4 linked regions of the Stegostoma tigrinum genome follow. The main gene of each other region encodes a partner of the protein of the gene in region 3 in a complex. Links are inferred from orthologs where the notes say so. Each region holds a gene or a part of one and is shown on either strand. Other genes may lie near its edges. The genes, in order: lsm4, rnf113a, snrpe and prpf3.

Region 1 (7,437 bases), on a different chromosome or scaffold from region 3:
GGTGCTGTGAGCCATCAACAACAAAGGAATTGCACTCCAGCACAATCTGTAACCTCATGGCCCGGCATATCCCCAGTCAACCATTACCAACAGGCCAGGGATCAACCCTGGCTCAATGGAGGGTGCAGGAGGACAGGCCAGGAGCAGCAGCAGGCATACCTGAAGATGAGGTATCGACCTGGTGAAGCCACCAAACAGGGCTACTTGCATGCCAAACAGTGAAAGCAGCAAGTGATGGATGGACCTAAGCAATCCCACAACCAACGGATCAGATCTAAGCTCTGCAGAGCTAGAAGTCCATCCCTGAGAGCATTATGGGTCAACCTACAGCAGGAGGACTGCAGCAGTTCAAGGCCACCTAGGAATGGGCAAGACATGCTGGCCAACCAGCGACACCCATATCCCGTAAATGAAGAGAAACAAAATGGTCCTCAGAATGAGGGACTTTCGTTTGTGGAGTAGAGAAGCAGAAAAGCTCAAGGAGATTAAATAGAGATGTTCATATTGGGTTTTGATGGAATAAATAAGGAGAAGTTGTTTCCAGTGCAGGAGGTTAGGCAACCAAAGGGTCACATTCAAAGTAATTGGCAAAAGAATCAGAGGGGAAGATGAGAACATTATTTTCGTTACAGTTGCAACATGGAATGTGCTTTTAAAAAGCTAGTGTAAACAGACTCCAACGTAATGTTTGTCACAGTACAAATAAATACCTGAAAATTAAAGATAACAAAGTGTGGAGCTGGATGAACACAGCAGGCCAAGCAGCATCTGAGGAGCATAAAAGCTGACGTTTCAGGCCTAGATCCTTCATCACCCTTTTCTGATGAAGGGTCTAGGCCCGAAACATCAGCTTTTGTGCTCCTGAGATGCTGCTTGGCCTGCTGTGTTCATCCAGCTCCACACTTTGTTAACCTGGATTCTCCAGCATCTGCAGTTCCCGTTATCTCTGGTCAGAAAATTAAATATTTGCAAGGCTGTGAGGCCTTGAACAATCTGGACAGCTCCTCAAAGACCTGGAAGTGCTATGATGGGCTGAATGGCCTCTATTTGTTCTGAGTTTCTACAGTTGGTGCTCCAGGACTTTTTACTACACCTGAAAGTGTGATATAATTGCAAGTTGTCATTGAGTAAGAATGTGGAGAAAAGCTTGTGCAATGCTCCCTAAGGTTTCATTGGCACCTGCCCTGAGCAAACAATCCTGGAAGGTACCACCTCTAGCAAGTGCCTTTGGGACAGGAAGAAAGCATTAATACAACATAGATATAGAAGGAACTGTCGATGCTGGAGAATCTGAGATAACACAGTGTGAAGCTGGATGAACACAGCAGGCCAAGCAGCATCAGAGGAGCAGGAAAGCTAATTCTGTTTTACTAACGTGTGTTTGGGAATTAAAGACTACCAACAAGTTGTATTTAGTATGTTTAATCACATGAAACACTTCAAGGCACTTAAATTTACAGGAGCAGTGTTGGGAAAATGATGGCCTTGTGGTATTAGCACTAGACTATTCATGCAGAAACTGAATGCTCTGAGAATCCAGGATCAAATCCCATGGTGAAATTTAAAATGCATTTTTAAAAAGTCTTAAATTAAGGGCCGACTGATGACTATGAAACCGTTGCCAATTCTTGGGCAAAAACCCACCTGGCTCGGTAATGCCTTTTAAGGAAAGAAACTGTCATCCTTTCCTGGTCTGGCTTATGTGTGGCCTTGGACCCAGAGCAATGTGGTTGACTCTGGGCAAACAGGGATGGGCAATAAATGCTGCCCTTCCAAGGTTGCCCTCATCCTGTGAGTGATTTTTAAAAACAAAAAATTATACTATCATATGTAGAAATATTTTAAGGCCGGATGACCTACAGCTTTTGGTCAGAGTTCCTTTTAACTCAAACACAAAACAAGGGCTGGGCCAGCATTTAAAGAGTAATTTAACGTGGGAGAGTGGTCAAGAGACAGGGAAGCATTTCCAGAGCTCACAGGTTAAACAAACAGCGATGGGATTATGTCAGAAATCACACAGCAGCAGGTTCTGGTGCAACAGGTTTATTTGAGCCTCAGTCCTTCAGACGTTAGTGAAAGAGGTAGCATCAAACACAGAATTTATAAGAGATCAAAGATCACACCACTGTTCAGGATCTATTAGACAAACCGCATGCTGCTAAATCTTCAATCAGTTCAGAGGGTTTATAATATGTACATATTATATATTTCCATATCAGTATACATACACAGACGAAATCTTTAGTCAGTTAGGTTTTAGCCGGGGGGGGGGGAAGCAGGGAGGAGGGGACCGGGGGGGAGGGGGGTGCGGGGGGGGGGAGGGGGGTGCGGGGGGGGGGAGGGGGGTGCGGGGGGGGGAGGGGGGTGCGGGGGGGTGGACAGGGGTGCGGGGGGGGGGAGAGGGGTGCGGGGGGGGGGAAGAGGGGTGCGGGGGGGGAAGAGGGGTGCGGGGGGGGAAGAGGGGTGCGGGGGGGGAGAGGGGTGCGGGGGGGAAGAGGGGTGCGGGGGGGGGAAGAGGGGTGCGGGGGGGGGAAGAGGGGTGCGGGGGGGGAAGAGGGATGCGGGGGGGCGAAGAGGGGTGCGGGGGGGTGAAGAGGGGTGCGGGGGGGTGAAGAGGGGAACGGGGGGAAGAGGGGTGCGGGGGGGGAAGAGGGGTGCAGGGGGGAAAGAGGGTTGCGGGGGGGAAAGAGGGTTGCGGGGGGGGGGAGGGGTGCGGGGGGGAAGAGGGGTGCGGGGGGGGAAGAGGGGTGCGGGGGGGAAAGAGGGTTGCGGGGGGAGGTGGAGCAGGGGGCAGGGTGAGGTGGAGCGGGGGGAGGGGGCAGGGGAGGGGAGGGAAGCAGGAGGGGAACGGGGGGAGAGGAGCCGGGGTGGGGAGGGGGGAGCGAGGGGAACGGGGAGGGGGAGCGGGGGGGGGAGAGGGGAGCGGGGGGGGAGAGGGGAGCGGGGGGGGGAGAGGGGAGCGGGGGGGGGGAAGAGGGGAGCGGGGGGGGCGGGGGGGGAGAGCAGTGGGAGCAGGGGGAGTGGGGAGAGTGGAGCGGGGGGAGCGAGGGGAAGCGGGGGGGGGCAGGGGGGGGCAGGGGGGGGAGCCGGGAGCTGGGGGAAGGGGAACAGGAGGTGAGCGGGGGGAGAGGGGAGCAGGGGGAGAGGGGAGTGGGGAGCGGAGGCAGAGGGGAGCGGCGGCAGAGGGGAGCGGCGCGGGGGGGGAAGGGGGGAGCGGAGAGTGGGGGGGAGGGGAGAGCGGGGGGGGAGGGGAGAGAAGGGGGGAGGGGAGAGAAGGGGGGAGGGGAGAGAAGGGGGGAGGGGAGAGAAGGGGGGAGGGGAGGGAGAGAAGGGGGGGAGGGAGGGGAGAGAAGGGGGGGAGGGAGGGGAGAGAAGGGGGGGAGGGAGGGGAGAGAAGGGGGGGAGGGGCGGGGGGGGGCAAGGGGGGAGGGGCGGGGGGGGGCAAGGGGGGAGGGGCGGGGGGGGCAAGGGGGGAGGGGCGGGGGGGGCAAGGGGGGAGGGGCGGGGGGGGCAAGGGGGGGAGGGGCGGGGGGGGCAAGGGGGGGAGGGGCGGGGGGGCAAGGGGGGAGGGGCGGGGGGGGCAAGGGGGGAGGGGCGGGGGGGGGCAAGGGGGGAGGGGCGGGTGTGGGAAAGAGGGAGCTGGTTGGAGGGGGACGGCGGCAGATGGAGCCCGCGGGGGGAGGGGAGGCGGGATGGGGGGTGTGAGGTGGGGACGGGATTCGGCGCCAAGTGCTGGGCTGTTCCTCCTACGAAGGCCCCACTTTACGCCAACTATTGCGACAGCAACCTCAGTACGGGGCGCCACCTCTGGTCGCTGCCATCTCTGATTGGCTGTGTCTGTGGCCGCGGCTGCTGATTGGGGAAGACAACCCGTCCATCAGGCTGGCGGGGCGGGGCTAGGCCGGAGCCGTAAGTTGGGTTGTCGCAGCCGCGGCGGGAGGAGCGGGAACCAGAGACGGAGACAGAATGGTGAGGGTGAGGGCCGCAGGCTGAGCCTGAACAGGCTGCAGCATTGGACGCTGAGGGGTGACCTTATGGAGGCTTATAAACCCGTGAGAGTCATGTGTAACAGAGAATAGCCAAGGTGTTTCTCCGGGGGGTTTAAGGTGAAAGGTTTAAAGGTCTCGAATGTCAGCTTTTTCACACTGAGTGGGGTCTGAGGAAGTGGAGGAGGCTGGTACAGCCATAACATTTAAAAGGCATCTGGATGGGTACATGAATAGGAAGGGTTTAGTAGATAATGGGCCAAATGGGACTAGATTAATTTAGGATATCTGGTCAGCGATAGGCAAGTTTGATCGAAGGTAAGAGATAACAAGGTGTGGAGCTGGAGGAACACAGCAGGCCAAGTAGCATCAGAGGAGCAGGAAAGTTGACGTTTCGGGCTGAGACCCTTCTTCAGAAATGGGGGAGGGGAAGGGGATTCAGAAATAAATAGGGAGAGAGGGAGGCGGATAGAAGATGGATGGGGGAGAAGATAGGTGCAAAGGAGGCAGACAGGTCAAAGAGGTGGGGATGGAGCAAGTAAAGGTGAGTGTAGGTGGGGAGGTAGGGAGGGGATAGGTCAGTCCACGGAGGGACGGACAGGTCAAGGAGGTGGGATGAGGTTAGTAGGTAGCTGGGGGTGCGGCTTGGGGTGGGAGGAAGGGATGGGTGAGAGGAAGAACCGGTTAGGGAGGCAGAGACAGGTTGGACTGGTTTTGGGATGCAGTGGGTGGGGGGAAGAGCTGGGCTGGTTGTGTGGTGCAGTGGGGGGAGGGGACGAACTGGGCTGGCTTTGGGATGCAGTGGGGGAAGGGGAGATTTTGAAACTGGTGAAGTCCACATTGATACCATTAGGCTGCAGGGTTCCCAGGCGGAATATGAGTTGCTGTTCCTGCAACCTTCGGGTGGAATCATTGTGGCACTGCAGGAGGTCCATGATGGACATGTCATCTAGAGAATGGGAGGGGGAGTGGAAATGGTTTGCGACTGGGAAGTGCAGGTGTTTAGTGTGAACCGAGCGGAGGTGTTCTGCAAAGTGGTCCCCAAGCCTCCTGTTTCTGTGCTATGTATCTCTGTGACTCTAACGGGGGTTGTGGGGAAAAATGATTGAACGTGTCGTTATAGAGACATATGGGGGGGGGCGCGGTGGAGAAGGATGGTTGGTGAGGGAGGAGAGAATGAATCAGTCGGGAGAGCAGGTGAGAGGAGAGAAGATGTTGATGTTGAGCTTGGTGGGGTGGTGTGCTGTGTGGGTCTTAATTATACCGATATACCAGGACATTGTCGGGGAATGAGGGAAAGGGGCAATTGGGCAGGAATGTGAGAATGTGAAGAATATCCCTGACTCCCAGCCTCCCTTTGGTGTGGGGTGAAAGGAGGGAACCCATGTGCTGCTGCTTTTGTAATCTGAGCGCTGTTGATGGATTTCCCACTCTGAGACCTGTACAGTCAGTCCTAATTCTATCCCTTTCCAGCTTTAATCCTGGAGGCAAGGGTCGTGCTGATTGTAGCTGTACTTCCCCACCCATTTTAAAAGAGCTTTTGTTTTTAGTTTTTATATTTAGTTGTAACTCTTACGTTCTGATTTATAGTGGGGATGTTATCCACATTAGCAGTAATTGTTTTGACAAATTAAACTTTCTTCTCAGATTTAATCAAATGTTTTTCTTCTTTATTTCAGCTGCCCCTTTCATTACTTAAGACGGCACAGAATCATCCAATGGTAAGAGAGGCTGAGAGAATGCCTGCATTTTGCTCCATGATTGGTCCAGGCAGGGCTCCCACTTTGGCACATGGACTGTTTGAGCTCCTCAGTGATTCAAGCCTACACTTGTCGCTCCCTCAGCCAGCAGTCGTTTTTTTCCACCTGAGTGTTTGACAACTTGTGTTATTTTTAAAGAGTAAGTTAGCAATCATGGCAAGTAATTTTTATACTGAAATGCCTTAAACCCCCAGTCTCTGCCTGAGTGCTACTTCTCAGCTTTAATATAACTGAACAAGGGGACAAGTGTATGCTGTGGAGTCTGTCCCAGTATTCTATATTTGGCTAATTGTCGCCTTTGGACAGGTTTCATACATGTTTTTAGTGCCTCCCAGACAAGGGCCTTTGAACAGTCCCCTTAAATGTTTACACTTCTCAAAGTTAAGAAATATTCTGCCTTGACTTTTGTCTACCAAAGTGAATAGCTTAAATTATTGACATTATGTTCCAGCTGACACGTTCCACCCTGTGCACATAGCCTGTCCAAGTCCTCACGAAGCCTGTTTGCATTTCCACCTAATTTGGTGTAACGAGCAAATTTGGAAATATTACATCCAAATTACTTGTACAGACTATGAACAGTGTGGTCTTAGCACAGTACCCCAGTAACAACAGCCTCCCATCCTGAGATTTTTTCTGTTCACCAATTGTCAGATAATGAGGCAGTACATTTAATCATCAGTGACTTTAATGTTCATGTAGATTGGGAGAATCAAGTTGGCAAAGTGACAAAAAAACTTCATGATGTATTTGAAATTGAATCCACTTCTTCTTAGAAGCTAGCGGGGATCAGGCTTCTTCGGATCTGGTAATGTGAGTTGAGGCAGCATTAATAAATTAGCCCACAATAAAAGATACCTCCAGGAACAGTGATCGTAAAGCATTCAGTTTGGGTGCGAGAAATTTGTATCAGAAATGACTGTACTGAACTTGGGGGTAATTATATTAGAATGAGGACAGAGTTGGCTGGAGTGGTTTGGGAAAGAAGTTTAGCAGCAAAGGTGTTTGAAGAACAATGGCAGACATCTGAGAAGATAGTTCCTGGCTTTCAGCAAAGGTACTTAACCAGTAAAGGAGGAGGATTCCTGAAAGGGGTGTTATGAAGTTTTAGTAGAGTAATCGTGAGGTGGAAGGAAGGAAGCTAAAATATATTGTTCCTTGTGGTATATGATACAGTATAAGTGATTGTGGTGATGTTGTGTCTTCCTGCTGAGGCCTGTACCAGAGGTAATGGCGGATTATGCTTTTCGGATATCCATTTCTTTTGAAGGCACTGTATAGGTGCTTGTATTATACTTCGCGTTTTTCCATAGATCAAGGACATTTCAGAGATGACCACAAGAATACTCAGACCGCTAGGTATCAGAGTAGCCTACAAACCAACAACCGCCCTACAATAGTTACTGGTGAACGTAAAGATCCCATACCCAAAACCAGCAAGCCAATGTAATATACAAAATACCATGCAAGGACAGTGAGAAACACTACATAGGCCAAACCAGAAGAAAATTGACAATACGGATACATGAACAACTAGCCACCAAGAGACATGACCAATTCTCATTTGTCTCACTACACACAGACAATGAGAGACATGAATTCGACTGGGACAACACATCAATAATCGCACAAACCAAACAGAGACACACCTGGGAATTCCTGGAGGCCTAGTATTCCAACCAGAACTCCAT
Region 2 (7,358 bases), on a different chromosome or scaffold from region 3:
ACAACTGAATAAATAGGTTACTTTCAATGTGACAAACTGTAGACAGTGGAGTGTAATAGGGATTGGTGCTGAGCCTTCAACTATTTACAATCTACTTAAGGACTTGGATGCAGAGAACAACTGTATTGTAGTTAAATTTGCTCATAATACAAAGACAGGTAGGAAAGCGAATTGTGAGGTGGGTACAAAGAATCTGTATAAGGATATAGGTAGGTTAAATGAACAGCAAACTGTAGCAAATGGAGCATATTGTGGAAAAATGCCCACTTCGTGAGAAGGGTAGAAAAGCAGATGATTATCCAAATCGGAGGGACAATGCAGACTGTTGTAAGGAAGGATCCGGTGCCCTTCCAGATACAGGAGGAAGTGTTGCTTCAACTGTACAGAATGCAGATATGAAATCACACCAAGAGGACTGTACACAGTTTTGTTTCCTTACTTAGGGAGTCAAGTGCTTGCATTTAAAGACGTTCAGAGAAGGTTCATTAAGTTGATTCCTGGGATGAAGAAGTTCTGTTGTGAGGTAAGGCTGAGGAGGTTTGAGCACTAAGAGGTGATCTTATTGAACTGTATAAGATTCTGAAGGCACCTGGCAGAGTAAGAGGCTAAGAAAATGTTTCCCCCTGTGGCAGAATTTACAACTAGTGGGCAGAGTTTAAAAACGAAGTGTCTCCCATTTAAGATGGAGAAGTGGAGAAATATCTTCTTGAAAAGGAGGAGTAATCTTTGGAACTTTCTTCTACAGTGCGCAGTGGAGGCTGGGTCATTGAATACATTCAAGGTTGTACCAGATAAATTCTTAAACTACAAGGGACAAACAAGAAACTGGAGTGCGGCCACACCAGATCAGCCTTGTTCTTACTGAGTGGTGATGTGGACTGAAGGGGCTGAATGATCTACACCTGCTTGCATAATACATGATGGCAAGTCTCCAACTTTAACATATGAACAAGGAACAGCAGGCCTGTGGGCCCTTGAATTTGGTTCGCCATTCAAAAAGATCAAAACCACAAGTTCACATTCTCACCTACCCTGATAGATTCTTGGTAAACCAGGAAAGATTATCTAATTTTGCCTTAAAAATATTCAGAAGATTCTTCCTGAAAAGGTGTGGCAACAGAGTTCCAAACACACACAACCCTCAAAACAAATTTCACTTCACCTCTCCTTTAAATGGTCAAGACCTCATTTTTAAATAGTTGCTCTTAATTCCAGTTTCTCCCAGAAGAGAAAACATCTTTTCCACATCCCTCAGGTGCTTACAATCTTGTGCATTTCCATCAAGTTGCCTCTTAATTTCAACTCCAGGAAACAAAAGGTTATCCTGTCAAACTTTTCCACATAAGCCAACATCCCCAATTGCAGATATCAGTCTGGTAAATATTCTGTAATTTGCTTGCACACATTTATATAGGAGCAAAATACTGTAGATGCTGGAGATCAGAAATAAAAATAAACAGCACTTGATAAACTCAGCAGTCTGGGGAGGTAAATAATTAATTTTTAAGTGAGTATGATTCTTCTTCACATTACAAACACGTCACGCAGAACTGGAACAGTTAACAGTGTTTCTCTCTCCACAGATGCTGCCAGACTTGTTGAGTTTCTCCAGTGCTTTCTATTTTCACACAACACACAAAATGACCTTCGGCTGGCTGAACACTAGGGAAGACACACACTCAATTCTCAGAGAAGATTCCATTTCTCCTGTTGCTGCCTTCATCTTGTGATAAAGCAGCATCGTCTGCACTGAGCAAAAGCTCGTAACAGAGGATTCTGACCATCTTGGATGTAAATACCTAGAAACTAAATTAAAGCAGTGGCGAAACTCTCACGAGCACTAAAATATAACCTTAACAAGAGAAACTGGAATGTCTGCCACTGTAAGTCAACATTAAACTGTGATTCCAAAAGAAGGCCAATATTAACTTTGTCACTTTGTCTTTCCGACAAAACATTAAATTCTAGGTGTCTAAGCTCTCAGGGAAAGACAATAGGTTCCTCTGCACTATGAGAGGAACAGCAAAGTTATTCTCCCCGGATTCCTGACCAACATAGGCCCCTCGCTAAATTAATGTTACTGAAACAGTTGATCTGTTTATTATCAGTTTATTACAAAATGCCGTGTGTGGAGATTTTCCTGTGCATATGCATCCCCCCCGCCCAGACTCCAGCCTCAGTGCTTCCGATTTTACAACAGTGAATTCCAGTAATTTATTAGCCTTGATGCTGAAGGAAAAAAGCCTGTGGTCTTGAAAGGTGGTACTTAAATGCAAATTACTTTACCTCTGTCAAAGATCTTTTGTCAAATCAATCTTCCTCATTGAGGGGCTTGGAGATAAACCCAGGACAGCAAGCGGGTTTGTTGAATTTAGCATCACCACATTAGAATGCACTTTAATCAGTGCGATTTGTTGTTGAGGATGAAACCTGGAAAGGCTGGGACTCTTTCCCCTGGAGGGTAGGAGATTCAGGGGTGACTTTATAGAGGTTTTATAAAATCACGAGGGGACGTAAATAAGGTGAATGGCAGGTGTCTTCTCCCTAGGGTGGGGGATTTCGGGACCAGGTGGCACATTTTTAAAGGTGAGACGAGAAGGATTTTTTAAAAAAAACAATTTCTTTACAAACAGAGAGTGGTTCGCTTGTGGAATGAATCTCCTGAGGATGTGGGGACAATTACAATGTTCAAAAGACATTTCGATAAGTATATGAACAGGAAATGTTTGAAGGGATATGTGCCAGGAACAGGCAGGTGGGACTGGTTTACTTTGGGATTACGGGCAGCACGGACTGGTTGGGCTGAATGGTCTGTTTCCGAGCTGCATGAAACGGCGCCTGGTGAGAACTGCGCTCCGTTTTAAGCCCGAGCGGAGACACAGCCGGAGAATGCGGCCCCTTCCTCCCTCCAGGTCAATACCTTTGTCACTAGCGCTCGCCCTCCGCTTCCTTCCTTTAAATTTCCTGCTAGATTTTTTAAAGAGGAAAGTACAGACCGGGGCCGTCTTCCCCGCTTCCCCGGACTCCGCCATCTTAACAACAATACAACATCAGCAGCAAGCGGAGCCCGTGCAGCCCCTGGTGGCTCCATGTGGGAATACCCACAGCGGCCCCAAGTGGTTCAGAGCTGCATTGCACACAGCGGCCCCCAGTGGCCTCGACGGCACTGCACACAGCGGCCCCTGGTGGCTCGGAACGACACTGTCCTCTGTGACTTCTGTTATTCACAGAATGGAGTGAAATTAAATGATTGAGATAGGAGGAACTGCAGATGCTGGAGAATCCGAGATAATGCGGAGTGAATGTGGATGAACACAGCAGGTCAAGCAGCGTTAGAGGAGCCGGAAGTTCGGGCCTAAACCCTTCTTCAGAAATGGGGGAGGGGAAGAGGGTTCTGAAACAAATAGGGAGAGAGGGGGAGGTGGATAGAAGATGGATAGAGGAGAAGGTAGGTGGGGAGGAGACAGACAAGTCAAGGAGCCAGGGATGGAGCCAGTAAAGGTGTGTAGGTGAGGAGGAGAATTGTTTTTGTGCAGAAGACGGCCATTGTGTCTGACTGGCTCTCTGAATATTTTAATTCAGTGCCAATCTCCTGCCTTTTCGCCATAACCAAACTCATTGTTTAAACTTAAACTCAAATTTGTGCACTCTTGAATGCTCAGTTACACTTCAGGACATATATATTCAGACCTAAGTCATCTAATTTTAAAAAAAATCCATAGGATGTAGGCATCGTTGGCTGTGTCAGCATTTATTGCCTGCCCCTAGTCGCCGCTGAGAACTTGGTGGTGCTGTGCATTCTTGAACCACTGCAGTCTATGTGCTGTACGTAGACCTACAACACCATTAATGAGGGGTATCTTTCTTAAATATTACCAGAATTTCAGGCTTGAATATCTTTCCAGTCAATGAGTCTCAGCTACCACTACCCCATGAAAGAAAAAAATACAATCTGGTAAAGATTAATGTTAAGTCAGAGGATCGGGAAAGTTTTAAACATCATCAAAAGAAAACCAAAAAATAGCAAGAAGGAAGAAGATAAACTGAGGGTAAACATGCAAGTAACAAAAGATGAAGAACAAGCACTTCTTTAAATATTTAAATTGAAAAAGAGAAACCAGTGAGGGAGGCAATAGCCTAATGATATCAATTTGGATCCAGAAACTCAGGTAATGTAGGGATGTGGGTTCAAAGTCTGCCATAGCGGATGTTGGAATTTACATTCAATGGAACTGCTCTTGTGAAATTATTCACAGTTAGATTGTTAAGTAGAGGTAGATGTTTAATTAGTAAGGCAGGAAAATGGAGATGAGGATTGTCAGATCAGCCATGTCCTCATCAAATGGCAGAGCCAACTTGATGGGCTGAATGGCCTCCTTCTGCTATTATGTGTTATGACCTCAACCCTCCACTTAGCTAGAGTTAGTAGGAACTGCAGATGCTGGAGAATCTGAGATAACAAGGTGTAGAGCTGGATGAACGCAGCAGGCATCAGAGGAGCAGGAAGGCTGACGTTTCGGGCCTAGACCCTTTTTCAGAAATGGGGAAGGGCAAGGGGATTCTGAAATAAATAGGGAGAGAGAGGGAGGTGGAAAGAAGATGGATAAAGGAGGAGATAGGTAGAGAGGAGACAGACAGGTCAAAGAGGTGGAGGAGGAGCCAGTAAAGGTGAGTGTAGGTGGGGAATTAGGAAGAGGATAAGTCAGTCCAGGGAGGATGGACAGGTCAAGGGGGCGGGATGAGGCTAGTAGGTAGGAGGTGGGGGTGGGGCTTGAGGTGGGAGGAATGGATAGGAGGGAGGCAGGACAGGCTAGGGAGGCGGGGATAAGCTGGGCTGGTGTTGGGATGCGGTAGGGGGAGGGGAGATTTTGAAGCTTGTGAAGTCCACATTGATACCATTGGGCTGTGGAGTTCCCAAGTGAAATATGAGGTGCTGTTCCTGCAACCTTCGGGTGGCATCATTATGGCACTGCAGGAGGCCCATGATGGACATGTCGTCTAAGGAATGGGAAGGGTTGTTGAAATGGTTCGCGACTGGGAGGTGCAGTTGTTTATTGTGATCTGAGCATAGGTGTTCCTCAAAGCGGTCCCCAAGCCTCCGCTTGGTTTCCCCGATGTAGAGGAGGCCACATCTGGAACAGCGGATGCAGTATACCACATTGGCAAATGTGCAGGTGAACATCTGCTTAATGTGCAAGGTTTCCTTGGGGCCTAGGATGGGGGTGAGGGGGGAGGGTAGGGGCAGGTGTAGCACTTCCTGTGGTTGCAGGGAAAAGTGCCGGGTGTAGTGGGGCTGGAGGGGAGTGTAGACCAGACAAGGGAGTCATGGAGTGAGTGGTTCCTCCAGAAAGTAGATAAGAGTGGGGAGGGAAAAATGTCTTTGGTGGTGGGGTCGGATTGCAGATGGCAGAAGTGTTGGAAGATGATGTTGTCCTTGTTGATGGAGCTACTGGTCTGTGTTGCTATTTCCTCTAGTAATATGGGCGCTGTTTCTTCGGCTAGTGGGATGTCAATTGATGTGAATAAAGCTGTGACGCCAAAGGATACCATAATCTAGTCGCTGATTTTTATGTTTTTGAGGGTATCAAGGACATCTTGTGTTGTGTGAATAGAATGAGGTGATCTATCTACTAAGTGTTTCAATCTCTGTTGTAGGTTTTTGGCCAGTTTATGTGAAGGTGTCTTGGTCAGGAAACAGTGGGTCTGAGAGGGATGTCTGGTTTATGTACGTTAGGGAGTCCATAGAAGAGGGAGGGGGTGTTTGTGCCTGCTGGTTTCATTCTCATGAAGTCTGTCTTGGTTATCTGCCCTGCATTCATTAGTAGCTTCAGTGCCTGGCTGATCCGATTACTGAGCTGTGGTGTTGGGTCTATCGCCACCTGTTGGTAAGTGGTTGTATCTGCAAGCAGTGTCTTAGCATTCTTAACGTAGTCTGGTTGTTTATGATAACAAAGTGTAGAGCTGGATGAACACAGCAAGCCAAGCAGAATCTTCCTGAGATGCTGCTGGGCCTGCTGTGTTCATCCAGCTCCACACTTTGTTATCTTGGATTCTTCAGCATCTGCAGTTCCCATTATCTCTGGTTGTTCATGATAATGGTCATGCATCCTTTCTCTGCTAGGATTATGATGTTCTTGACTTTCCTGAGTTTATATAGTGCTTTTCTCTCTGTTGTGTTCAGGTTGTCCCCTTTGTTCCTTCTGTGTAGTGTGGCGATTTATAGTTTGTCGGATGGCTTTTTTAGATTAGATTCCCTACAGTGTGGAAACAGGCTCTTTGGCCCAACAAGTCCACACTGCCCCTTGGAGCATCCCACCCAGACCCATCCCCCCATAACCTACACACCCCTGAACACTACGGGCAATTTATCATGGCCGATCCACCTAACCTGCACATCTTTGGACTGTGGGAGGAAATCGGAGCACCCGGAGGAAACCCACGCAGACACGGGGAGAATGTGCAAACTCCACACAGACAGTCGCCCAAGGCAGGAATCGAACCCAGGTCCCTGATGCTGTGAGGCTGCAGTGCTAACCACTGAGCCACCGTGCCGCCCAAAATCAGCCCTCTTCAATTCTCGGACTTGCAATGACAAAAATGAGACTGCCTGAGGCTGAACCCTAACCGGGGCAGGAAATAGGCTGCACCCAGACTTGAACTTGGATCGCAGGGCTCAGAAACCAGAGTACTGACCACTACACCAGAGCACCCAGGGCTTGTTGTGTTTCCTCCCTGAGGCTGTTGTCTTTTAATGTATTCTCCAGGGCAGCCATGAAGCCTGTTCTGTTCGCATCTTTTGTGGTTATAGTTCAGTCCGCGTAGTAGGACAGCTTTCTCCGTTTCTGTGAGTTGTCTGTTAGATAGGTTTCTTCTCCATGCATTTGGTTTGTTGTTGTCCTTTTTGTGAGGAGTCAGTTTGGTCAGTTTCTCCTGCAGCTTGTGTCCATTCTTAGTTTTGGTTTTGTGTTGATTGATGGTGATGGCCTGTTCTAGGTGTAGTCCATTGTTGGTCCATTGAGTTTAGATACTGTGATTTTTGGTGCACAATTTCTCATTCGTACCTTTGGAGTTGGTTATGGGCATCATTAATCATTACACATAGCATTCTGCATCCATTCTATTCAGCTATTTTATATCCTGTGGTTTGTTGAGTGGAGGTTTGTATTTCACGCTGTGGGGCAGTACCTGGTTCCTGAGATGTTTGTGGAGGAAGTGAAGTTGTTCACATGCAGACCTCAGTTGATTGGTAAAGATTTCCCGTTGTCTGGCAATTTTTAGCATGTTACGCCCATAATTGTTTAAAGTTTTGGTGAAGATCTGTAGCTCAGACATTTCATCACCGTGCTAGGTGACATCAT
Region 3 (7,882 bases):
CTGGAATCACACTTACAGAAAACAACAGATGACTGCATTCACTTGATGCAACTTCAGGTTTGCTGGTCAACTGTCAGCCAAAGCAGCCTGACTGAATTGTGAAAAGTCAATTAACTGCACATCAGAACTCCAGGCTAATTTTCATACTTACAATTATACAGCCTTCTATCCTCATGTTGACTTGTTCATATAACCATACTTGGATCCTGGATCTCTAGAGTAAAGGAAAAAGGTAATTCAAGTCAGAAACAAATTATTTCCAACGAGTTTGAATAAAACAGTGCCTCTAAGCTGTGCAATGCTCCCTCAGTCATGTATTAGAGTCAGAAAAGACTGTGTTCAGGTCTCTGGAGTGGGTATGAACTCATGACTTCTGACTTAGTAAGAGAGCTGCAATTAAGTTGAGATTTAATCAGCCCTTTGCTGAATTACTGCAGCAAAGTCATTAATAAACTGCATTCACTTAACAGGTATGATAAACACCATTACCATGATGATTAATTATGTAAAATATTAAAAGTAAACAGCTTTACTTACATTCTGAAGGTACCTGAAAATAAGATTCTGTTGCACGTTCAGTTAAGGACAACATTTATAAATTATATAATGAACATCTCCATTATAAGATCTGCGTATCCCTCACATGCTATCTATAACCAGTCTGTGGTATGGTCACCAATCTAATGAAAAAATGATGCATAATACCTACCTCAAAACCGTTTACAGCTACAGTATTGATGTGTTTATTGATAGACATGAACATTGGCGTCTTTTCTAAAATGGCCATTAATTATGTCGCTCAAGTAATTATCTACAATCTATTCAACTGCACACCATCATAAACTCAATGTTATCCTCATCCCACATTCACAAACTAGTGTGTCTAGAATGCACTTCCTGGAGGATCAGGAAAGATAAACTCCAGTGGAATTTCTCTCCTTAGCCTTTAAAATTAAATACCGAAGTCACGTCCATGCCTAGCTCTTACAAAGATCACTGAAACAGTTCTTCCAAATTTGTACTGACAGCTATTCCACTACCTAGGTGACATTCGCATCTGAGACTGTGCACATGTATAATGACCAAATCTAATTTGCCTGATAGTTTAGATTCAGTATGTTTACAAAAGTTTCCACCCAATAAGGCTCCCAAGCCCACATTCAAAATTCTCCTGTGAATACAGCAACATTGCAATAACGTGCACTTGGTACCTTCACTTGAGCAAGGATATAACAACAGGATAACACTATTATACCAAAAATTGCTCTTACAAATATTGAGATTCACAATGGTAGTATAATAAACTAGATTCAAAATGATGCATAGCAACTATACTTAATTTATCCTGTAGTATTTAACTTCAATTCAAAGGTTTGTATAATGCATTCAATCCACCAATCCTACATTCAATCAATTTATTAAAACTCCTGGTCAAACAAATGTTGCAATGTGAAAACTTTCATCCTTGTTATAAAGTTCCTGCAGGTAATCTTGCTCAACCGTACAAATGTCTGCCCTCATCTGATTCGAGCCTCTTGAGCATCCTTAATTATGGTTATATTGCTATTTATGACTGCACATATTCAGCTGCTCAAGAGTCTTGTATTCCTACTTCACTTTCCTCCTTTCTACAAGACCATAATACATAGGAGTGGAAGTAAGGCCATTCGGCCCATCGAGTCTACGCTGCCATTTAAATCATGGCTGATCAGCATTTCAACTCCACTTCCCTGCACTCTCCCCGTTCTGACACACCACAAAGTCTACCTCTTTCACAAGGAGTTTGCCAGTTAACCAAATATGTCAAATGTCATGGACACAAATTTTGTCCAGTAACGCTCCTGTAAAGCGGCCTGGTTTTATACTATGTTAAAGGTGCTACTTATATGTCAACCATATTTGGTGAGGGCCCTCCACAGAAAACCGCTGAGCGATTGCCTTACGCTGCTGAAAACCCCACCTCAACAAACCATGCTGCATCAATTCACTAATTTGAACAATTCCCACAAGACAAGAGCAGAAATAGGCTATCCAGCCCAATGACAATTCTGCCATTAAACGAGAGCATGGCTGATGTGAGAACCTTCAGCAACAGAAACAAACTGCTGAAAAAGCTCACAGGTCTGGCAGAATCTGCAGAGAAAAATCAAAGTTAGTGTTTCAGATCGAGTGATCCTTCCTCAACTTTGTTATGCTGCCTTTACCCCGGTTACCCTGGATTTCCTTGCCCGATTAAAAATCTTTCTCAATCTCTAGTACACTCAATGCCACAGACTGCATAGTTCTCTGCTATAAAGAATTCTACAGATTCACTGCCATCTTGGAGAAATTCCTCCTCATCTCTGTCTCAAATGTACGACCCCTTACGGTGAGAGGTTATACCCTATGCTCCTTGACTTTCCCACAAGTTAATACAACCTTTTCTGCATCTTCCCTGTCAAATACGCCAAAAATCCCATAGATTTTAATAAGGTCGTCTCTCATTGTTCTGACTTCCCAAGGGTAACGGGCCCTCTCAGCCCGAGGCTCCACAAAACACGGGACGACCATAACTTTAAAACAAAACGATTTAAAAAGCCGTTGTTCAATGGGGCTGAGCACGAAGGCGGGCGGCACATGGAGCTTGTTGTGAGGAGCCGCTCGCCGTCCATCGCACGGTGGATAGACCCAGGGAGGAGGCCTCAGAGACAGACAGGGAAAGAAAGAGAGAGAAGGGAAGGCAAGAGAAGAGAGGCAGGCAGGGTGTAGGCCCCGAGGCCGGGTGCAAGCCTGGGCACAGGATCCGGTCCGGAGTCTCGGGTTCAGGCCCGAGCCCGGGGCGCCCAGTCACGGGCCGATCCTCCCTCCCTCCCTCCCTCCTCAGATCCGAACACCTCCCCACCCGCCGAAAGGATACAATGGGCTGCACCATCACTTTCTGCACTTTCTGCGCCTGCCCGCGGTACGCCATGACTTCGGCTCCGACCCGGCGACCGCCTCAAGAAGGGGGGAAAACACAAAAAGAAAATGGAGACAAAATGGCGGCTCCCGCTTCACGCACCGTGACCTCTGACCTTCCCCAGCACGGCGCGGCGCGTTCGGGAAGAGGCGGGCCCCCGCTGCTATGGTAACGAGGAGGCGGGGCCCTTGCTGCTATGGTAACGTGGAGGCGGCATCTGATACTAAGAGCAGTGACAATGGGAACTGCAGATGCTGGAGAATCCAAGATAACAAAGTGTGAAGCTGGATGAACACAGCAGGCCAAGCAGCATCTCAGGAGCACAAAAGCTGACGTTTCGGGCCTAGACCCTTCATCAGAGAGAGGGATGGGGAGAGGGTTCTGGAATAAATAGGGAGAGCGGGGGAGGCGGACCGAAGATGGAGAGTAAAGAAGATAGGTGGAGAGAGTGTAGGTGGGGAGGTAGGGAGGGGATAGGTCAGTCCAGGGAAAACGGACAGGTCAAGGAGGTGGGATGAGGTTAGTAGGTAGGAAATGGAGGTGCGGCTTGGTGTGGGAGGAAGGGATGGGTGAGAGGAAGAACAGGTTAGGGAGGCAGAAACAGGCTGGGCTGGTTTTGGGATGCAGTGGGTGGGGGGGAAGAGCTGGGCTGGTTGTGTGGTGCAGTGCGGGGAGGGGACAAACTGGGCTGGTTTTGGGATGCGGTAGGGGAAGGGGAGATTTTGAAGCTGGTGAAGTCCACATTGATGCCATTGGGCTGCAGGGTTCCCAAGCGGAATATGAGTTGCTGTTCCTGCAACCTTCGGGTGGCATCATTGTGGCACTGCAGGAGGCATCCACTGTACCCGGTGTGGCTTCCTCTACATTGGGGAAACCAAGCGGAGGCTTGGGGATCGCTTTGCAGAACACCTCCGCTCGGTTCGCAATAAACAACTGCACCTCCCAGTCGCAAACCATTTCCACTCCCCCTCCCATTCTTTAGATGACATGTCCATCATGGGCCTCCTGCAGTGCCACAATGATGCCACCCAAAGGTTGCAGGAACAGCAACTCATATTCCGCTTGGGAACCCTGCAGCCCAATGGTATCAATGTGGACTTCACCAGCTTCAAAATCTCCCCTTCCCCCACCGCATCCCAAATCCAGCCCAGTTCGTCCCCTCCCCCCACTGCACCACACAACCAGCCCAGCTCTTCCCCTCCACCCACTGCATCCCAAAACCAGTCCAACCTGTCTCTGCCTCCCTAACCTGTTCTTACTATCACCCATCCCTTCCTCCCACCCCAGCCGCACCTCCATCTCCTACCTACTAACCTCATCCCACCTCCTTGACCTGTCCGTCTTCCCTGGACTGACCCATCCCCTCCCCACCTATACTCTCCTCTCCACCTATCTTCTTTACTCTCCATCTTCGGTCCGCCTCCCCCTCTCTCCCTATTTATTCCAGTTCCCTCACCCCATCCCCCTCTGTGATGAAGGGTCTAGGCCCGAAACGTCAGCTTTTGTGCTCCTGAGATGCTGCTTGTCCTGCTGTGTTTATCCAGCCTCACATTTTATTATCTTGGAATTCTCCAGCATCTGCAGTTCCCATTATCTCTCATTAACAGCATTATCTGTTTTTTTTTAGTGGGGCCAGGGAAACTGAACTAACATTTACAGATATTTATTCTTTCAACCTATCTGGTTTAAAATTTAAACCGTGGCTGGCAGTTAACTGTAGCTGATAGTTATTTGTTGCATTAATTTCTTTGCCAATGTATCCATCCTTTAGCACCCTCCTCCCAAACAGATGAATGTTGGTTTTCCCATGGAATTAATGTTTCTTCTCAATGAGTGCAAGAAGAAAACTTCTGACAAAATGTGTCTTGTTTTATCATCAGCACTTCCTTATTGTCTGGTTCGATGCCTCACCATTAACGCTGTATTCTTCATAGACTGATTGAAGACAAGGCAACGCCTAGGACTATTTGAGACTTAGACTTCAGATCAACACTATTGATCATACTGAATGCCAGAGCAGGTTCAAAGACCCCAATAGCCTTTTGTGCTATTTTCTATATTTCCGTGTTCATTACATGTTAAATGCTGCTGTTTATGCTAATCATAGATAAATAAGGCTCTGAATTATTATGTTAGGTAAGGACTAATCTTTGTTGTGTCCATGTCCATATGCTTTCCAGACTCTAAAGTTCTAATCTAGTGTAGTATAATGAGGTGTAATACATTGTGTTCTAACCATGCCCTCAATGTGCTATTTACATTCAGTGATGTGTAACTTTGTGACATCGTTGCAATTTTGGTCTGCTGTTCACGCAACAAAAAGTGTTGGAGAAAATAAGCAGGTATGACAGCACATGTGGTAAGAAAGCAGATAAACATTTGAATTCAACCTGACTGTTCAGAAAACGAAACTTCCTCTCAACCAGACCCTTGAGACCAAGGATGATTTCTTTCTACTCAGTAATGTAAGAGATTATCTTTTTAGGTTACATTATATTTGATTGTGGATTGAAATGGGAACTATTTTACATCAAACAACTGAGGAAGAAACTGCTATACTTTTAAAAGCAAGTTACTGAACCTGTCTTAAGTCATGGATACACTGTTGCTTTGCGTGCATTCAAGGAGGGTGTCAATAGATAGCGTGGCACAATGGCACATGTACAAAGATTTTGGCCTGCGACAAGTAACTGATTGGTTTGTGGAATTGCGACCGGTTATGGATGCTAAATATCATTGACCTAACAACTACCAGATTGGTTTATGGATGCCGGTCAATTTGTGGTTGACTATTACATTGAGCAAGTAGTGAGAAACCATTAGACCTCTGGAAGAGGAGGTGGTGTGTTTCTCGCCGGTAAAATACCTGAAGCTAAGGAAAGCCATTTTTCTTTATCTCATTAGTTGCTATAAGCTATTGCTTTTAACCAATAAGGTAAACACCTTTTAATTTGTGAATCAGTCACTCTGTGCCTCCCATAAAGGAGTGAAAAACCTAAAGGATAAATTCAGAAAACTAAAGGACTTGGGAAACAAAGTGAACTCCTCCATTGAGTCCTGAAGATAGGTGCCCTTGAACTGTTTCACCAATATTCAATCCCCTTTCATCCAGACCTGTCATTTTTGTTTGCATGTATGTGTATGTAGGAGGTGTTTATTAAAACGGTTAGTAGAGTTATATCAGAGATAATGGGAACTGCAGATGCTGGAGAATCCAAGATGATACAATGTGACGCTGGATGAACACAGCAGGCCAAGGAGCATCTCAGGAGCACAAAAGCAGACGTTTTGGGCCTAGACCCTTCATCAGAGAGTAGAGTTATATGTCAGCTTTTCATTGATTCTCTCCACAGACAAACAACTATTCAATTCTAAAAAATAGTAGCCCATTATGTAGAGAGTTTGGCTCATGTTTTCTGTCAACGAGTTGATCAGACAGGAAAATTGGAAACTTATGATAACATTTTTAACTTTTAGCAGGGCTTGATTTCCAGAGGGCTATTCCAGCTTTGATTTGTGCATCCTGAGGTGACTTAGCAGTCCAATGTGAATCTGCATGCCCTGCAACTGGTGGGGGTAGTCAGGTTCAACAAGGTAGGTGTTCAGGTTGTTGGAAGCTATTTAGTTGATCCTACCCCTCTAGTCTTTCCCACATATATCCAGTTCTCTTTTGGAAGTTTGTAGTGTGCCAGCTTTACCCTTTCAGATAGTGTATTATAGAACATAAATCACAGTATTTTAAATTTTTCTCCTTCCGTCACTACTGATTCTTTCACCAGTTACTTTAGATCGGTTATCAAGCGTCCCCCTACTGTTATTCTAGCAAAATATTTCATGGTGTTATAAATGACTTTACTGAATTCACATTTTGTTTAATTTCTCCATCCCTGGTATCAAACTAATTAAGATCCTCTGCACCGAAAGCCTAGATCTCCTTCCTATAATGCGGCCCATGGAATTAGACTCAATAGTCCAGCTGGGCCTGTTTGTGAGCAGAAGACATTTTCATAAAGCAAAGAATTCCATGTCTTTTTAATAGCTTTCTGTGCTTTTTATTTTCAAAGACATGTATGGACAGTCCAAATTTCTGTTCCTGAATTGGCCTTTGTATTTCTTTTGACCAAAATGTAATAATTCACCTTCATATGTTAAATATCATCCACCATACATCTGCCCATTTCGCCAGTCCATAAGTTTGTTTACGACCTTTCTCAAATTTGTGTCATGTACAGACTTAAAAGTTGCCACATGCAGTGATCCTGAAGTCAACCACTGGGAAATGACATTGTATTTTTCAGACAAATGACTGTTCACTATTACTCAGATCGAAGAACAGAAAATTTCTTCACAGCTGATCAGGCACCAATCATGTAATGAAGCAGATCTATCAGGTCGAGGTAACAAGGTGTAGAGCTGGATGAACACAGCAGGCCAAGCAGTATCAGAGGAGCAGGAAACATCAGCCTCCTTGCTCCTATGATGCTGCTTGGCCTACTGTGTTCATCCAGCTCTATAACTTGCTTTCTTGGATTCTCCAGCATCTGCAGTTCCTATTATCTCTATCAGGTTGACCCTTCATTAGAAGTGAGGAAAGCTAGTAATAGGTCTTGCAAATCTATTCTATTGCTTTTCTTCAATTCGGATTGCCCTAAACCTGAAAGGCAACTGCTTCATTTATTAATGAACCCTGCAGCCTAATGGTATCAATGTGGACTTCACCAGTTTCAAAATCTCCCCATCCCCCACCGCATCCCTAAACCAGCCCAGTTCGTCCCCTCCCCCCACTGCACCACACAACCAGCCCAGCTCTTCCCCTCAACCCACTGCATCCCAAAAACAGTCCAACCTGTCTCTGCCCCCCCTAACCTGTTCTTCCCCTCCAACCCTTCCTCCCACCCCAAGCCGCACCCCTATCTACCTACTAACCTCATCCCACCTCCTTGA
Region 4 (8,299 bases), on a different chromosome or scaffold from region 3:
CACATTTATCTAAACATTATCTGCCTCCCACTGGCCCATCTGATTAAGGTCCCGTTGTACTCTGAGGTAACCTTCTTGGTTATAAACTATACCTCCAATTTTGAACTGGAATATATCACACTCAGGCACTTGTCATTAACACTGACTGAAAATGATTCAAATGGCAGCGTTATCAACTTGAAGCTCAGCCTTTCCAAACCGACTGTTTCCTGTCTCTTATTCAATCCTCTATCTGCTTGTCCCTTAGTCAGTGCTATATCCATGCTGATATATTAACCTCAATTCTATGTATCCTGCTTTACAGTAATTGACTCATACGTGGCACTTTAATCAAATGCTTTATGAAAATCCAAATACCCAACACTTTTTTTACTCAGCCTACTGGTGAACACACTGCAGCGTATTTGTGCTCACATTGGAGAGGAGAAGGGAACTTGATCCCAGCCTCCCAAGTCAGGGGTCAGACTCTTTCCACTTGCCATGGCTGACAGACACAAAACCTGTGCTTGATGTCGCTGCTGTTTCCTTGTTCCCCACGTTTACTTTCAACAGCTGGTTCCATTTTATATATTTACAGAAGGCTCTTTTCATTTTTCTACAATTACACATGCAATCTCCTCCATCAATTATTTTTGTCATTTTTTGCTGAATTCTAAAGTCCTCCCAATTCTCAACTTGATACACGTCATTTAATCTGTACCAAACCTTATAACATCATGTGGTTTGACTGCTTATCCTGTTTGGTAGTTATTCCACATTACAGGAAGGATGTGGAGGCTATGAAGAGGTTTACCTGGATGCTAGCTGGATGAGAGGATATGAGCTATAAGGAGAGGCTAGAAAAACTCAGATTAATTTCCACTGCTCCAGAGAGCAAGGGCAGACTTGATAGAAGTCTTTTAAATTATGAGATGCATAGATAGGGTTGACAGGCAGAATCTTTTTCCCCAGATTTGAAGTGATGAAAACTAGGGGGCATGTATTTAAGATGCAAATGAGAAGTTCAAAGGAGGTGTGAGGGGCATTTTTTTTAGACACAGACAGCGCTAGTAGTTTAGAACATGCTGCTGGGGTGGTGGAGGCAAATACAATAGGGCCATCTAAAGGACTTTTAAATAAGCACATGAATATGCAAGGAATGGGGGGGGGAGCGCGATATGGACAACGAGCAGACAGAAAGAGTGAATTTAATTTGCAGTCATGTTCGGAAGAACGTTGTGGGCTGAAGGGCCCATTCCTGTGCTGTACTGTTCTATGTTCTAAAATGTATTTACCACAAATTATATATAAAATTTAAATATCTTTTAATACATCATGGATTTTGTAACAGTTTCCTTCGAATGCCAACGTGCCTACTGAGAGCTTCTAGTATTTTCTGTTTTTATCAGTGATTTCCCACATCTGCAACATTTTGATTTTGGATCATGATTTTGTTCCAATCTGTTGAGGTCAAATTTGCCTTTGTACACCGTTCACCTTGCTCAGACTTAAGAGCCTAATTCAAATGTAGAAATTAACAGAAACTCAGCAGGGCTAGCAACATCTATGGGCAGAAAATGTCATTAACGTGTGAGTCCAATAACCCTCTTCAGACCCTAGGTTATGACTTAACAAAATTATTCCCAGTGTCATGACCATGTTACGATCACTCTTCCTCAGATACCCTATAAAGTTATTAGTTAACCCTGTATAATACAAGATCAAAAACCAGCCTGAATGATTCCACAACTGGTTGATCAACGAAATGATTGTGAATGCATGGTGGGAGGTAGGCATTAATCAAACTTGGTTTTCATCAATTCGTCTTGTGCCTGGAAGAGCTTCTGGCCAATTACGTCATGGCTACAAGAGGGCAGGAGGGAGCAGTTAGTCAGGGTCACTGGCCGTCAGTGTTTACTGAAAGCCAGCTGGTCAACCACCTTTACTCCACCACCAATGTAGAACCACTCATCAAATGTCAATGACAGAATATGTGAAGACACTTGTGCGGGAGATTGGGAGTAGGGTTAGCACATGGGAGTTCTGATCAGGGACAATGATGGGTCAGCTCACAGGAATTGACATTTTAATGTAGACAGCACAACAGGATCTCTCATGTTCTACAGCAACAGGCCGCTCTCTCGTCACAAGGACGGTGTTGAATTCTATGCTGAAATTCATTTCAAAATTAGGTTGGAACCCATAATCTTCATCCTGCGACTGGGAGCTCTCAGGACCAAAGAATAATACAGGTCCTGGCAGGTGATTGACAGAGCATCAGCACTGAGGGAGCGTTGCACTATCGGAGGAGCAGTGCTGAGGGAACCGGTGGTTGGTGCCAGTCTGACTCACGGGTGTGTGTGTGTGCGTGCGCGCGTGTGCATGTGCGGTGTTTTGCTGATGAGGGTGCCAGATCACCACCGTCACCCCCACCCCCTCCAGGTGCCCTGGAGTGGAGGGATCAATGGGGCGCAGATCTCTTCGGTAGATTCAGACAGTCTTTCACCACCATCCCCATCTAGCCATATCCCACACTAACCCAGCCCCTCCTTCAAGTCTGGAGGGAGCAGCAGGGTGGGGGTGGTGGGGGTGGTTGGGGTGGTGGGGGTGGGGGTGGGGTGGGGGGGTGGGGGTGGGGTGGGGGGGTTGGGGTGGGGGGGTTGGGGTGGGGGGGTGGGGGTGGGGGGGTGGGGGTGGGGGGGTGGGGGTGGGGGTGGGGGGGTGGGTGGGGGGTGGGGGGGAGAAGGGGATGAAGAGAGGGAGAGCAGGAGGAAGGGCTGGAGGGGTCGGGGAGAGTAGTGGTGGTGGTAATAGGGGACCACACGGTCGGGGGGGGGGGGGATTAGAAGGTGGGGTGGGCCAGGGGGATGGGGAGGGAAGGGGGGGTGGAGTGGAGTGGGGAGGAGGGGGGGTGGAGTGGAGTGGGGAGGGGGGAGGGGGAGTGGAGTGAGGAGGGGAGGGCGTTGGGGTTAGGGGATGGAGTGGGGGGGGGTGTAATGGGAGGGCAAAGGCCCCAGGACCTCGTCCGAGTGCCACATTGAGGCTGTTAATGATGTGAGGATGGCGATGGTGGATACTACCCCGCGCCAAGCCTACTGCCCCCCCCCCCCCCGACACAACAGGCGCAGGCCGCAGGCCTCAGGCCTCACTCACCCGCTGCGACGACTGTCCCGCGAACAGACGGGGAGTGAGAGAAAAGGGGTCGGGAACCGGAAACCGGTGTCCCCGGCTCAACCGTCCTCCCGGACCCGGAAGCCGGTGCCCCCCTCCTCAACCTTCCCCCTTCGTTCCCCTCCCCGCCAGCTCCCTCGTACCTTTTCGGCACAGCACACCGGCCTCACCGGAAGTCCGCTGGCGCCACACTCAAAACCGTCCGGGGCCGAGTGTAACAACGAATGCACTCCCCGATTGGGCGCGATGCATCTGTTTTGGGGAAGACTGGGGGCGGCGGGAGAAGAAAGGTTCCGCTTCGTCCTCCTGACCGCGGGAAGGCGCCAGAGGGTTGCCCCGAACTTTCCAGACGCTTCTAGAACATCACAAAGGACCGTTTGGGGGGAACGTGTGTTGTTTTCGACAAACCCCAGCCACGATGTTTTGGAAAAAAACAGAGGAATCTGGGGTGGTGTAAGAAGGACATTGTCCCAGAATTGTACTAGAACATCACAGGGGCAAAGGCCTAGCGTGTTCTAGAACATTCCAGAGCGGGATCCAGCCTTTCCAAACAGAAAGAAACAGAAAAATAGTCTCCCTCCCCAAACAAAAGCATTCCTGGAGAAAGGATGGAAATGTACCGTAAAATAATTTCAGATACAGATCCAGAGGAATGCTCTGGTGAGTTCTGGAAAGTTCCAACACACCTAACTCCATGTATAAATCGGAATTCGGAGTAGAACCAGGCTGGACACAGTCAACAGAAAGTTCTGGAATATTCCGTGGCCCCAGAATGTTCCTGACTATTCCAGGGGAAGATGGGAATTCTCAAAAGATCAGTTCCAGGGAAATATACAGAATATTCCTGGGGAACGTTGAAACTCAAGGAGATAATTTCCAGGGAAAGGCCTGGATTGTTACAGGATATTCCAGGGGAATACCTTTACAAGATCAGTTCCAGGGAAGCGTCAGAACATTATGGAAATTTTCACAAATCGTCCCCAGGAGTACCCCAGATTGTCCCAGAAGATTGCAACCAAATGGCTCCTGAAAATTCCAAGCGAGTACCCAGAACTCTACAAGATCAGTTGCAGGGAAGGTCTGGATCATTCCAGAAAATTCCAGAGCTTTGCTGCAAATTTAGCAACTGTGAAACAAACGTCCAGGCATGCAAGGAAATGCCCAGATGTGGGGGAATTTGACAACCCTGAAAACAAAAATTACCCCAGAATCTCACAGAGAAGGTGTATCAGGATTCCTAAGTTTGAATCCAGGATTCAAGAAGTTCCATCAAACTTGAATAGATTCACGAATGGGTTTACAGTGAGCCTTTTGAGAAAGAATTTGGAAGATCTGAAAATTCCTGGAATCTCACACCTACCAAAAAACAGAATTTCACCAGGAATCTGAACCTGATCTAGAGCATCCCTGACAAAGCTGGAATTTTCAGATTCTTCCCAATTTGGTTTCTTTCCTTGCACCTGTGTAGATTCCACATCTGCTGCATCATTTACCGAAAATCCCAGGATTTGCAACTGACGTATCTGAAGATGAGCCTTACAGTCCACTAGGCCATCTTTCATCCAGTGGGAATAAAGTATCAGAGATTTGAGTTACTGAATTTGCACTCTTTTTAGTAAGTGCCATTGCAAAGTTAATGACCACGCCAAGGGCCCTAAGAATGCTTCATTGAAATTTTGAAATTGTTTGTGTATGTAGGAAAATGGATGCATGTGGATGAAGTTAATAAATGCAGATCAGTCACGTTCGCATTAAATGTCAGAACAGAGGATCTCAGTGACTTCTTCCTATTCCAGTTGTTACACCTCACTGGGTAGCATGCTAGAAATCAAGCCTCACTCTTCTGGGGTCATCACAAAAGCTAAAGATTTTAAAACATATGCCAAATTCTCCAATTTACCTGACCTTTACTCCCAGGTTGACAGAAAGAACAGACCAGGTTTCCATATTTAACAAGAATATGACTATATATTAGAAGTAAATAGACTCTAACTACAGGTAAACAATTTTGAACCATCAACAAATAGAATTAGATTTTATTGTCATGTGTACTAAAGTATAGAAGAACAGTGAAAAGTGTTCAATGTTGCCTCTTGTGGCACCATCTTAGGTAATAAAGGTACTTTATTAAATCTTAGATACCAAAAGAGGAATAAAAATTAACTACTAATTAAAACTCTAAATCCACTTATAAACCCCTCTAAGCACAAATTTGGGGGAAAAAATGAGTGTTTTGGATGGAAGGAAAACTGAGAAAACAGTTTCGTGCTCTCTGTTCACAGGACCTGCTGGGATGGTTCTTGTGCTGATCAGAACGCTGTTTCTCAATCTTCCTTTACTGGAGGTTTTCACTGATTTGAAGGAAGCTGGTTCACTTAAAGATGGTCTCTGATTCTTTACTTAAAATTCGCAGCATACTGCACTGCTGAAGGACAGTACGGTGATTCAGTGATCAGCACTGCTGCCTCACAGCGCCAGGGACCTAGCCTTGGGCTGTATGGAGTTTGCACATTATTCCTGTGTCTGCGTGGGTTTCTTCCCACAGGCCAAAGATGTGCAGGCTGGGTGGATTGGCCGCACTAAGTTGCCCATAGTGTCCAGGGATATGCAGGCTTAGAGGGATTAGCCATGGGAAAAGCAGGGTTACAGGGATAGGGCAGGGTTTGTGTCTGGGTTGGATGCTGTTCAAAAGGTTGGTGTGGCCTCGATGAGCCAAATGGCCTGCTTCCACACTGTAGGGTTTCTATGAAATGAATCCTATCTAATAAATAAACTTTTTCTTTGGTTTAATGGGTGATTTGATGGTGGAGATCAAAGAAAAAGTACTTTCAGAGACGTGTAAAAGCCTCCCTGGTAAGAAGAAGAATTTATCTGGAGGCTGAAAGAGAACAAAAATAATTCCTGAGCTGGTGGAGATCAGATGGCCTCTCACCATGTCTTGTTCACAACCTCAAGCAGTTCAGCTACTTGAGAACCAATCGCAGATCTTTGTCATTGATAACTGGACACTAGTTGACAGACTTGTGGCCAGCTGTATCTCCATTTGTATACACCATTGCCTGTGCTGTGTCTGCACCTTCTCCTCCTCCTGTTTGAACCAGCAGCTGTGCAAACAGTACTTCCAATGAGAGAAAACAAGGTGTAGAGCTGGACGAAGACAGCAGACCAAGCAGCATCAGAGGAGCAGGAAAGCTGACATTTCGGGTCAGGACCGAAGGGTCTAAACCCAAATGTCAGCTTTCCTGCTCCTCTGATGCTAATTGGCTTGTGGTGTTCATCCAGCTCTGCACCTTGTTATCTCGGATTCTCCAGCATCGGCACTTCCTTCTGTCTCTGAAACACTTCCAATAAGTGTCAGGTTGCTTGCTTTCAAAGAGCATAACAGTAGCCTTTCAGCAATCCTTGGTTTTAAAAGAGTTCTTCTCTCATTTCAGTCCACTAATAAAAATACAGAAAAGTGAAAAGACTCTTACGACACTGCATAACAGGCCTGAGGGGCTGAATACCACCCTCTCTTGCTTCACCCACCCTTTGGGCACCTCCAAACCCTCCCTCTTTATCCCTATCCCTCATCCATTTACCCCCTCTATCCCATTCCACCCCCCTTTAAGACCCCCATCCCCATTCCCTACCCCATCCCTCTCCCATTCCGCCACCCCACTCACTTCCACACTCCCTGCTACCTTTCACCATCCTGCTGCATCGATTTCAACTCACTCCCACCTTCCTTTCACCCCCACCTTGTCCCTCCTCTCCAACCCTTCCCCTCACCTTTCCAACGTCCTTCCCATTCCTCATGCACCCCCCCATTCCTTCTGCTGCTCATCTCCATCCCTTCTCCCCAAAATCCCCATCCTGCCCCCCTTCCACCTTCACCACTTCCCCCTCTGTCAGTTTTAGCCTCTCCCCTCCCCTTCAATGCCTCTCCAGTTCCTACATCTCTTTTCCCCCTCCCTTTCCCCCACCCATTATCTCCCCTGCCTTTCCCCTATCATCCATCCCATCCACCCCGTTCCCATTTCTTCCAGACTTGAGGGAGGCCTAGTTAATGTGGAATGTGGTTACTTGGGATGGAGGTGAGGGACTGTCTGAATCTGCCAAGGAGATCTGTCCCCACAGAACCCTGACCACACGGCACCCAGGTTGAGATTTGACAGCCTCATCAGCAAAGCACCCCCTCACCCCAGGTCCTGGAACCAGACAACAGACTGGCACGAGGTTCTGTCAGCACTGACCCTCCGACAGTGACAACTCCCTCAGCACTGAGCCTCTGACAGTGCCCGCTCCCTCAGCACTGACCCTCCAACAGTGCCGCTCCCTCGGCACTGACCCTCCAACAGTGCCGCTCCCTCAGTGCTGACCCTCCAATAGTGCAGCACTCCCTCAGCTCTGACCCTCCAACAGTGCAGCTCCCTCAGCACTGAGCCTCCGACAGTACCCACTCCCTCAGCACTGACCCTCCGACAGTGCCCGCTCCCTCAGTACTGAGCCTCCGACAGTGCCCGCTCCCTCAGTACTGAGCCTCCTTCAGTGCCTGCTCCCTCAGCACTGACCCTCTGACAGTGCCCATTCCCTCAACACTGACTGTCCCACAGTGCCCACTCCCTCAGCACTGACTCTCCAACAGTGCCCGCTTCCTCAGAACTAACCCTCCAACAGTGCCCACTCCCTCAGTGTTGACCCTCCAACAGTGCCCATTCCCTCAGCGCTGACCCTCCAACAGTGCAGCACTCCCTCAGCGCTGACCCTCCTACAGTGCCCGCTCCCTCAGCACTGACCCTCTGACAGTGCCCATTCCCTCAACACTGACTGTCCCACAGTGCCCACTCCCTCAGCACTGACTCTCCAACAGTGCCCGCTTCCTCAGAACTAACACTCCAACAGTGCCCACTCCCTCAGTGTTGACCCTCCAACAGTGCTCACTCCCTCAGCACTGACTCTCCAACAGTGCCCGCTTCCTCAGAACTAACCCTCCAACAGTACCCGCTCCCTCAGTATCGACCCTTCAACAGTGCCCACTCCCTCAGCACTGACCCTCCGACAGTGCCCACTCCCTCAGCACTGACCTTTGTGGTAAATACATTTTAGAGCATAGAACAGTACAGCACAGGAATGGGCCCTTCAGCCCACAACGTTCTTCCGAACATGG

What was found.
Region 1: snrpe (region 3) and lsm4 share a complex: the UniProt entries of both Homo sapiens proteins name them as parts of the U4/U6-U5 tri-snRNP complex. The link is inferred for Stegostoma tigrinum from reciprocal best matches to the Homo sapiens genes SNRPE and LSM4.
Region 2: snrpe (region 3) and rnf113a share a complex: the UniProt entries of both Homo sapiens proteins name them as parts of the minor spliceosome. The link is inferred for Stegostoma tigrinum from reciprocal best matches to the Homo sapiens genes SNRPE and RNF113A.
Region 4: snrpe (region 3) and prpf3 share a complex: the UniProt entries of both Homo sapiens proteins name them as parts of the U4/U6-U5 tri-snRNP complex. The link is inferred for Stegostoma tigrinum from reciprocal best matches to the Homo sapiens genes SNRPE and PRPF3.

The regions. Positions count from the first base shown.
Region 1 is NC_081383.1:1,023,353-1,030,789, forward strand, and holds the start of lsm4 (U6 snRNA-associated Sm-like protein LSm4), read left to right. Parts: upstream 1-3,956; 5' UTR 3,957-3,966; coding exon of another isoform or gene 3,967-3,969; 5' UTR 3,970-4,034; coding exon 4,035-4,052; exon of another isoform or gene 4,053-4,084; intron 4,085-5,665; coding exon 5,666-5,707; intron 5,708-7,437. UniProt on the Homo sapiens protein: Plays a role in pre-mRNA splicing as component of the U4/U6-U5 tri-snRNP complex that is involved in spliceosome assembly, and as component of the precatalytic spliceosome (spliceosome B complex).
Region 2 is NC_081384.1:39,857,843-39,865,200, reverse strand, and holds the start of rnf113a (E3 ubiquitin-protein ligase RNF113A), read right to left. Parts: upstream 3,067-7,358; 5' UTR 3,033-3,066; coding exon 2,921-3,032; intron 1-2,920. UniProt on the Homo sapiens protein: Required for pre-mRNA splicing as component of the spliceosome. As a component of the minor spliceosome, involved in the splicing of U12-type introns in pre-mRNAs. E3 ubiquitin-protein ligase that catalyzes the transfer of ubiquitin onto target proteins.
Region 3 is NC_081374.1:11,214,653-11,222,534, forward strand, and holds the start of snrpe (small nuclear ribonucleoprotein E), read right to left. Parts: upstream 3,066-7,882; 5' UTR 2,951-3,065; coding exon 2,897-2,950; intron 565-2,896; coding exon 538-564; intron 215-537; coding exon 152-214; intron 1-151. UniProt on the Homo sapiens protein: Plays a role in pre-mRNA splicing as a core component of the spliceosomal U1, U2, U4 and U5 small nuclear ribonucleoproteins (snRNPs), the building blocks of the spliceosome.
Region 4 is NC_081400.1:2,579,191-2,587,489, reverse strand, and holds the start of prpf3 (U4/U6 small nuclear ribonucleoprotein Prp3), read right to left. Parts: upstream 3,366-8,299; 5' UTR 3,294-3,365; intron 3,239-3,293; exon of another isoform or gene 3,133-3,238; intron 1-3,132. UniProt on the Homo sapiens protein: Plays a role in pre-mRNA splicing as component of the U4/U6-U5 tri-snRNP complex that is involved in spliceosome assembly, and as component of the precatalytic spliceosome (spliceosome B complex).